Linked DNA regions of Danio rerio. The protein of the gene in region 2 purifies or fractionates together with the protein of the main gene of each other region. This does not show direct contact. Links are inferred from orthologs where the notes say so. Each region holds a gene or a part of one and is shown on either strand. Other genes may lie near its edges.

What was found.
Region 1: the proteins of cdk20 (region 2) and fkbp8 purify together in Homo sapiens (affinity purification with mass spectrometry; 5 studies listed by BioGRID and IntAct, with this or other methods). This does not show direct contact. The link is inferred for Danio rerio from reciprocal best matches to the Homo sapiens genes CDK20 and FKBP8.

Annotation. Positions count from the first base shown.
Region 1 is NC_133197.1:20,760,238-20,764,592, forward strand, and holds the start of fkbp8 (peptidyl-prolyl cis-trans isomerase FKBP8), read right to left. Parts: upstream 2,937-4,355; 5' UTR 2,866-2,936; intron 1-2,865. UniProt on the Homo sapiens protein: Constitutively inactive PPiase, which becomes active when bound to calmodulin and calcium. Seems to act as a chaperone for BCL2, targets it to the mitochondria and modulates its phosphorylation state.
Region 2 is NC_133183.1:9,036,059-9,040,540, forward strand, and holds the start of cdk20 (cyclin-dependent kinase 20), read right to left. Parts: upstream 3,009-4,482; 5' UTR 2,945-3,008; coding exon of another isoform or gene 2,926-2,944; 5' UTR 2,812-2,925; coding exon of another isoform or gene 2,711-2,811; intron 2,620-2,710; coding exon of another isoform or gene 2,506-2,619; intron 1,008-2,505; coding exon of another isoform or gene 948-1,007; coding exon 819-947; intron 740-818; coding exon 618-739; intron 548-617; coding exon 485-547; intron 1-484. UniProt on the Homo sapiens protein: Required for high-level Shh responses in the developing neural tube.

The DNA.
Region 1 (4,355 bases), on a different chromosome or scaffold from region 2:
TTTGCTTATTACATGTTCAGCACGATTCACTCCCCTACAGAATCATCCCTATCAATCAAAATTAAGACATTCAGTAACACTATAGGGATTCATTTTCACTATTAACTAGTTGGCCATTAGCATGCATGTTAAGATAGTGGCTGCTAATTAGTACTTATAAACCACGTGTTCTGCATGATCTTATTCTACGTCCCTAATCCAACGCAACACCTAAACTACTAAAGGAGCAAACTAGAAGTTTAGTAAAGCAAAAGTCAAAATGGTTTGCTAAGAGCAAGAACTGAACCTTAAAATAAAGTGTGACCAAAAATTCTTTCCAAGTATAACAATTAAGCTAAAGTTGGTTTTATATTCGCACATTCACTCATTTTAGAATAGAAAGCACTTGTGGTGCACTACTTCGAATGGTTGGTCTGAAATAGCATGTATACATCTTCAAATCAAAATGAGCACTACTTCACTGACTGTGAACAATGTTGTACTTTGACTGTCTTTGGCAGCTAATAGGATTTCACTGCTTCGAATTTGAAAAGATTACTTTTTTGAAACTATAGTAAGAAGGTTACAGTTTAAATGTCCAAATATAAACCAGCTTTACCTCAATATAACAAAGTATATCGCAAAATATATATTGTAAATATTTTCAAACAATATCGAAATATATTGCAGAAAAACAATAATCTAGTATCTATCTATCTATCTATCTATCTATCTATCTATCTATCTATCTATCTATCTATCTATCTATCTATCTATCTATCTATCTATCTATCTATCTATCTATCTATCTATCGTACAGTAGAGAGATGAGTTCTAAACTAATAAAAATATCTGATTTTACATTTCAAATTCAGTCTAAATAACAGCTCTAAGAAGATGTGTGATTGAAACAATACAGTGCAAGATATACAACTGCATGAACACGGAATGGTAAGATGTTCACTTGTAAATTAGAGATTTTAATATTGGTTCAGACTTTTTTTTATTAAGGAAAAAAAGATAATATAAAATACAACATAGAAAAGGTGATACCATTAAATCAATTGTTATATTTACTGAAACATAAATAGGGCAGCGTGGGGCACAAAGTAACATGGGGTTAAATTTAACACAAAGTTTTAAGGTATTTGCTCAGGGTTGACCATGGCATGCTTCCAAGGTTTTCACCACAGTGCCGGCAGACGTCTTCCTGCCAATTATTGAAAAAGTTCGGCGAAATTTGGATGAGAAACACAGGAGAAACCACTTTTGTAGCATAAAAGCATTTTTTATTATAGTCGAAATATATATATATATATATATATATATATATATATATATATATATATATATATATATATATATATATATATATATTTTTTTTTTTTTTTTTTTTTTTTTTTTTTTAATCTGTGAAAGTATGTATGCAAAATCTTATATTGTTGTGATTACAGTCTTCTAGGCTAAAAGATGAAACAATTTTAAAAGATGTAATAAACACACAGTGACTTCTAGCCAGTTTTGAGGAAAACACGACACAGTGGGGTTAGTTGAAACAGGGTGTTACAATTAAGCCACACACTGTTGGGTACCAATTAAACTAACAAAATAATTGTTGAATTTTGAATGAAATGTTAAGAACTTTTTAAATAAAAATGTTTTTTAATTGAAAAATGTTAATGTATAAATTAATAATAATGCAAATAAATCCAAATGTGTTTATCCAATAAATAAATTAACATACTGTGCTATGTAGAATAAAAAAGAGTCAATTACTGAGGAAATAAAGCTACTATTTAAAGTAAACTGAATTTAAATTAATTGTGTGAAATCTGCCTTTATAAGCATGTGTTACAATTAACCCCCTGTCTGTTACAACTTGCCCCACAGGTTGGATAAATGGTAACATTTTTACTCCTGGCACTTTGGCAATACTGCACAGAAACCATGGGTCATAATTTCAGTGCTCATTTGTAGGAGAGGCATGTGTGTTATTAGTAAAAAAATATAAAAAAGGTTTGTCTAACCCTATTACTTTATTACTTGACCAAAACAAAAAATAGTTACTAAATTGTGACTATTAGATTTAACTTATATATACTATTTAAAGTTTTAGTTCTTTTAATACTGAATTATACCCTATTCAAATGTTATGTTATTCCTGACAAACTCCAAATACTCATTATATTACCATGGTAAACGCGTAAAAACATGCTATTACTATGAGTGATTTTGCTTAATAAATAAACCCCAGCTATCGTATAATTAGAAACTTTTTTATTGACAAAACAATCGTTCAATTGAGGTAAAGTTGGTTTTAATTTTACACCATTGGACTTTCTCCTTAATAATATGATTTCAAAACTCTAAATAGTGAAATCATATTAGCAGTCAACGACTATTAAAGTATAACATTGTTCACAGGCGATTAAACAGTTTTGTAGTCAAACTTGCATGTGATTTCAGACTAAATACTCAAAGTACCATGGTAAACAATACAGGCAGAATGTCACAAGTTGCCACTGAAAGAATCTACAAATATAAAACCAACTTTACCTCAATAACCGATAAAATCTTCGTTAAAGTGAAATGACACATCGTCCACGCGTGAATATTCTGTTGTAATTCAGTGCTACGTCTTCAATGTGCATTATAATGTTCATCTTATATGCCTTCAAAAGGTTTGTATTTCATTACGAACGCGGGCGAATGCTTACTGTAAATCTCTTATTATTATTTGCAGAGATGTCAGTGTTTCCAGAACGTTCCAACAACTTTGAGACGGAGCGCGCGCACGGCTGAGTGCAGCGTGATGACACAACTCTCTTATAAATGTTTCTGTGCAATAAAACGTGTGAAAAGTGCTGTAAAAGAGCAAAAGCTTACCGCAGTGAGAAGAAAATACACCTCAGAGCAGCGCAGCAACAACTTTCACAACAACACAAGATCAATCTCTGCAACTTCCGGGTAAAGGTCAATGGTCATCGCAGACAACTACAAAATAAAAGTCAGAGTCAAGGTCGCTGCAATGACTGAGGGGACTTTTATATTCCATAATATAAATGCACATTCAACAGTTTAATTGATTTTATTTTTTTTCTTCCAAAATTAAAAATGTGTATGACAGTAATTTCTGTTTAATATTTTAATATATCAATTAAATTCACATTTCTATCAATATTAAAACAATTTATATTAACAATATATGATTACATATGATAAAAATATGAAATTAATAATATAAATAAATATTTTTATATATCCGTATAAACATAGTTTATATTTAATATTTATTTGATTTGTTTGAACCTATTTACATAGAACAAATTTAATGACATAATTGTTTTCTACATTCAATTATATATTAAATAATAAATATTGAAACTGAATTAAATGTATATCAATGTAATAAAATAAATATAAAATTTTTTAAGTAGGGCTATATAACATTATACTTTTGTAATAAACTATATACTTTTGTTTCTGATGTTTTAACAATTACATGTATTCTTAAAGAATTTAAAACAATTACTGATGATATTTAAGATTTCATATCACCTACATATTTATTAAATTTAATTTCATTATTATTTAGTAATTTTACCACTGTACATGAAATATTTTCTAGTTGTTTTTAATATACTAATCTAATATTAATATTAATTAATATATCAATTTATGTTTTTTTTTACCAAATCACTTATGAATGATTTAATATTTAATATATATATATATATATATATATATATATATATATATATATATATATATATATATATATATATATATATATATATATATATATATATATATATATAAAAAACTGAAACGCACAAAAATATCAAATTACATTTATTATTGATGCATTTCTTTTTGATAAGCAAATTTTCTTTTCTTTTTTTCTCAGTCTAAAGAAACTTTACAATATAAAGAAACATACAAAGGACATATTTACCTACAACAAGACACCTAAGGCCCTAAAAACACAGATCCGAGCTATACCCTACAATGAAATACAAAGCAAACCCAATGGGACAGAGACTGCTTCATATTGAATACTGTCAGGTCGCAAGAAAGGACGATGAAAAGTACAGGGGAAACTCTTGTCATTCGCCTTCCTGCTCCAAAATACACGTTTGCCGCTCAAACCTCTTTCTAATGTTACAAGGTTATATACACATCACAACAGAAGTGCAGAGATGGTCAACAGAACAAAACATTTCAGCCTTAATCTGAGGTAAAACTTATCCAATTTGACGGTTAAATTGCTGTAAGGTTGTGTTTTCTGTCTCGAATGTTTCTATATAAACTCGCAATATGATTTCCGTTCAGCTTAAGGCAAGACACTGCAGGTGAAAGAGGTAAACAATAGTCGA
Region 2 (4,482 bases):
AAGTGGGTGAGAGATGTGCAAACATAGTTTCTCAGATGTTGATATCTAAAAAAAAATGGCACGATAAAAGATCAAAGATTCTGTTTCAGTTGAGGGGAATCGAAATCCTTTTTTTGATTGGTGACTTCCCTAATTAACCCAATTTGCCTAGTTAAATATTTAACCTAGCTAAGCCTTTAAATTGCACTTTAAGTTGCACTCTAAATACAAGTATCTTGCTAAATTATAATTCAAATATTATTTAAATAAAGAAATTAATTATTAAAAATATTATGTTTAAAATCTCTTTTAAATATCACTTGGGGGATATCTGAAAAGTAATTACAATTTCACAGGAAATTTCTTTTATTTAATGAACGTTTTCATTTTTTTATGAACGGTATCTTCCAAGTATTTTTACAATTAAAAAAACACTGCAATCTTATAAATTATTATGATTTCATGCCGACTGGAAAAATTAATGACAAAACAACTTAATTATTACCAGAGATCAACTCCTTCGTCATATTTTCGGGCACCGTATAAAAGTTCTGGTGCTCTGTACCATCTGAAAAATAACACAAATGTTTTAGGCATATGATTTCGTATTTATCTTAAACAGACTCAAGTAAACTCACCTGGTGGCCACTTGGTGACTGTAAAGACGATCTCCTTCATTGGAAAAAAGCCTTGCCAGACCAAAGTCAGCGATTTTCAGATGACCAGTCGAGCTGATCAGAAGGTTTGCAGGCTTCAGATCCTATATACACACATACACAAACATAAAGCATAGTACCTGAAACACACCCAAGATGTTGAACACGGGAACACTAGCTCACCCTATGCATGATGGAGTTCTCGTGGCAGAAAGCCACTCCTTTCAGCAGCATCATCATATAACTTTTGACCTGGGATGCGGTGAGAGGACGCTGGGAATTCCTTATGACTTCTGACAGATCTGATAACATGTACTCGAACACCAGCACAAAGCCTGTGCCGTGAGGGAAGACGTCCTTCAGCTTCACAACCTATACAGACGATACAAACATTTATGAAATTGAAAGGATAACGTATACAGTTGAAAAGTCTAAATTATTATACCTGATGTGAATTTTTTTTCCACTTTCAAATATTTCCCAAATGATGTTTAATGCCGAGTTCAGACTGCATGATTTTCAAAGTAGTCGTGTCACAGATGTTTTCACACGGCATGACTATCTGGGCTAGCGTTTTGTCACTGCTTTGTTTACACTGCAAGATGGTACGGCGACAGTATTCGTTTTCACAGTATTTCCTATAGTATTTTTTCTTCTGGAAAAAGTCTTATTTGTTTTATTTTGGCTAGAATAAAAGCAGTTTTTAATTTTTTAAAAAACTTTTAAGGTCAAAATTAGTAGCAATGTATTTTTTGATTGTCTACAGCAGGGGTCACCAATCTCGGTCCTGGAGGGCCGGTAAGTTGGAGCTAAACCCTGCAGAAACACCAGCCTCCAGGAACAAGTTTGGTGACCACTGGTCTACAGAATAAACATTGATTTAAAATGACATGCCTAATTACCTTAATTTGCCTAATTAACATAGTTAAGACTTTTAATGTCACTTTAAGCTGAATACTAGTATCCTGAAAAATATGTACTAAAATATTATGTACTGTCATCATGGAAAATATAAAATAAATCAGTTATTGGAAAAGAGTTATAAAAAGTATTATGTTTAGAAATGTGTTGAAAAAGTTCTTGTTTTCGTTAAACAGAAATTGGGGGGAAAATATAATGGGGGGAACTATTCATCAACTGTACATCTGTTATATTTATTATATTACATGCCTAACATAAATCTGCTTCGGTTGATTCTCTGTTTATCAATCTTACAATTCAAAGCCCACTTCCACTACATACCCAAACAAAAATCATAACCCTAACCCTATATTAATAATAGATGAGTGAACATAAGGGAGGGTTTATCTACTTGTATTTGTTATGTATGTATATATCATGATATAACGTAAAACAGATTAAGAATGTGCAAAATATAGTATATTCTATAATATATAGAAATGGTGCAGTGAGACAGGGTGCTCTGTTAGAGCAAAGATATTCTTCAAATCTTCTTGAAATTGTTGTTTCATTGAGTAAAATGTCAATAATCTGGGAAGAAATAATGAATACAGAGATTATGCTATTGTTATTTTGATAATCAAGAGTAATTCTTCCTAAAACAGACACGAAGGCATCATTCACATCATGGTTTGCTGTGCACTAATTTCAACATTTAATGTAATAATTTAAACATTTATTGCAATAATTTTTTTATGATTGTTTTAAAATTATTGGTGGTTCATTCCGCTGTGGCGACACCTGATAAATAAAGGGACTAACGTTAACCCGAAGAAAAAATGAATGAATAGTTATCATTTACTAAGCGATTCACAGAATCTGAACTTGGTACGACACGGTTTTATGCAAAATAGATGCTCTTCATTCTCCACTGCACAGGTTTGAGAAATGAGTAATGATCATATCTCACATATTGGTTGTCCTCAATCTCTTGCAGGGCTTTAATTTCTCTTAACGCCTGGTTCGGGATGCCATCTTCAAGTCTTCGCAGGGCCACTTTTTTCAAAGCCACTGTCTCTCCTGTCTGAAAACATCAACAGATGAAGTGCACATAGGCCTTTTTATTAGAAAACGGCCTTTTAACATAAAATAAATGAAGATATACATGACACAACCTCAATGTGTTTGGCTTTGAAAACAATCCCGTGAGCTCCTTCCCCAATCCGGCCAAGAATACTATACTGGTCCATTCCGATGCTAACAGTTACACGACTAGCTGGCTAGCAAAACAGAAATAAAAATCTGTTTTATGTCTCAATTAACACACTGACATATATTCCACGCCGTTATTTGACAAAGACAAAATAAAAAGATAAGTTAAAACAATCACTTGCGAGCTGAATGAGCATTTATTGCGAGAAATAACACGATGCTCCGCTGAGGCGACTTGCAGTTGTCATGGAGATTGATTCTGTACGGCAAGCAAATGGAGACAAACTGTATTAGAATGAGAGCGCACTGTGATATAGAACTCATACATTAAAACAAATATTTTTACAATAAAAATATAAATTTAGCATATATTTTAAATATTAGGCTCTTCTAATACGTTAGAACTGGTAAGGCATAAAAAAGCCGTCACGTGGATCGTGTTACTTTTCCCATCGCTGGTCTATGTATACCTAAGTTACCATACTGATCTGCGTTTTAGTTTGTTAGCCGATTTATTGCTTCGTATATATCAGGTGACAGATGCGATTTCCTAGTGTTCAAAATTTAAGTCATTGCGTAGTATATATTACATTATATACGGGTTGTTGAATTCTCAAGTCTTATTGCCTGACTAATGTCTGCGAAATCTGACTCTTCTCTGAAAAACCTGTTCTGATGAAGCTGCAATCAAATAAATTTGCAAACTTACTCTACATAAAGCAAAATACGACATCAGCATAAATGATAAGTGACCTTTTAAACCTGTATTTGTAGAGGGAGTAAACAATTCAATCTGCAAAATGTATGAGACTTACTTTAATGTTGTACAAGAAGTTTGCTTTGAATATTCCACTTTAAAGACTATATGAACATAATATAAAAAAACCAATAATGAATAAATAACAAGCTGACAAAATATATAAACAACAAAATTCAATAGTAATGGCGTAGGCTACGTAATGGGACAATTATGTAAACACAATTTCTGTAGGCCAGTTAGACAAAAAAATAAAATTCAAAGCAAGTTTCTAATGCAACAACATTAAAGTACACAATTCCCATATACGGTGCAAATTAATTTAAATTGTGTCCCCCTTACAAACAGAGTTCACCTATAAACCTATTTACGCTGCTGTATATATTTAGCCAGCAGCTAGCTCACTACAACTCTCATATGGTAGCCCACTGAAGCAAAGTAAGGCTGCACCCGGTAAGTATCTGGATGGGAGACCACATGGCAAAGCTAACTTGCTGGTGGATGTGGTGTTAGAGAGACCAGCAGGGGGTGCTCAACCTGGGGTCTGTGTGGGTCCTAATGCCCCAGTATATTGATGGGGACTCTATACTGCTCAGTGAGTGCCGTCTTTCAGGTGGAGACGTTTAACTGAGGTCCTGACTCTGTCTCCGTGGCATCCTTGCCAAACTTTCCTCTGTCCATCATGGCCTCCTAACATCCCCATATCATAATTGGCTTCATCACTTTGTCTTCTCTCCTCCAATCAGCTGGTGTGTGGTCTGGCGCAATATGGCTGCCGTCGCGTCATCCAGGTGGATGCTGCACACTAGTGGTGGATGAGGAGAAAAATGTGTAAAGCGCGTTGAGTGTCCAGAATAGCGCTATATACATGTTAGGAATAATTATATGATATATCTTGCTCTATAAAGAAAGTTTGCTAAATGATTTAATAGTAGCTTCTTCAGAACAGATTTTTCAGCTAAGTGAGTCAGATTTTGA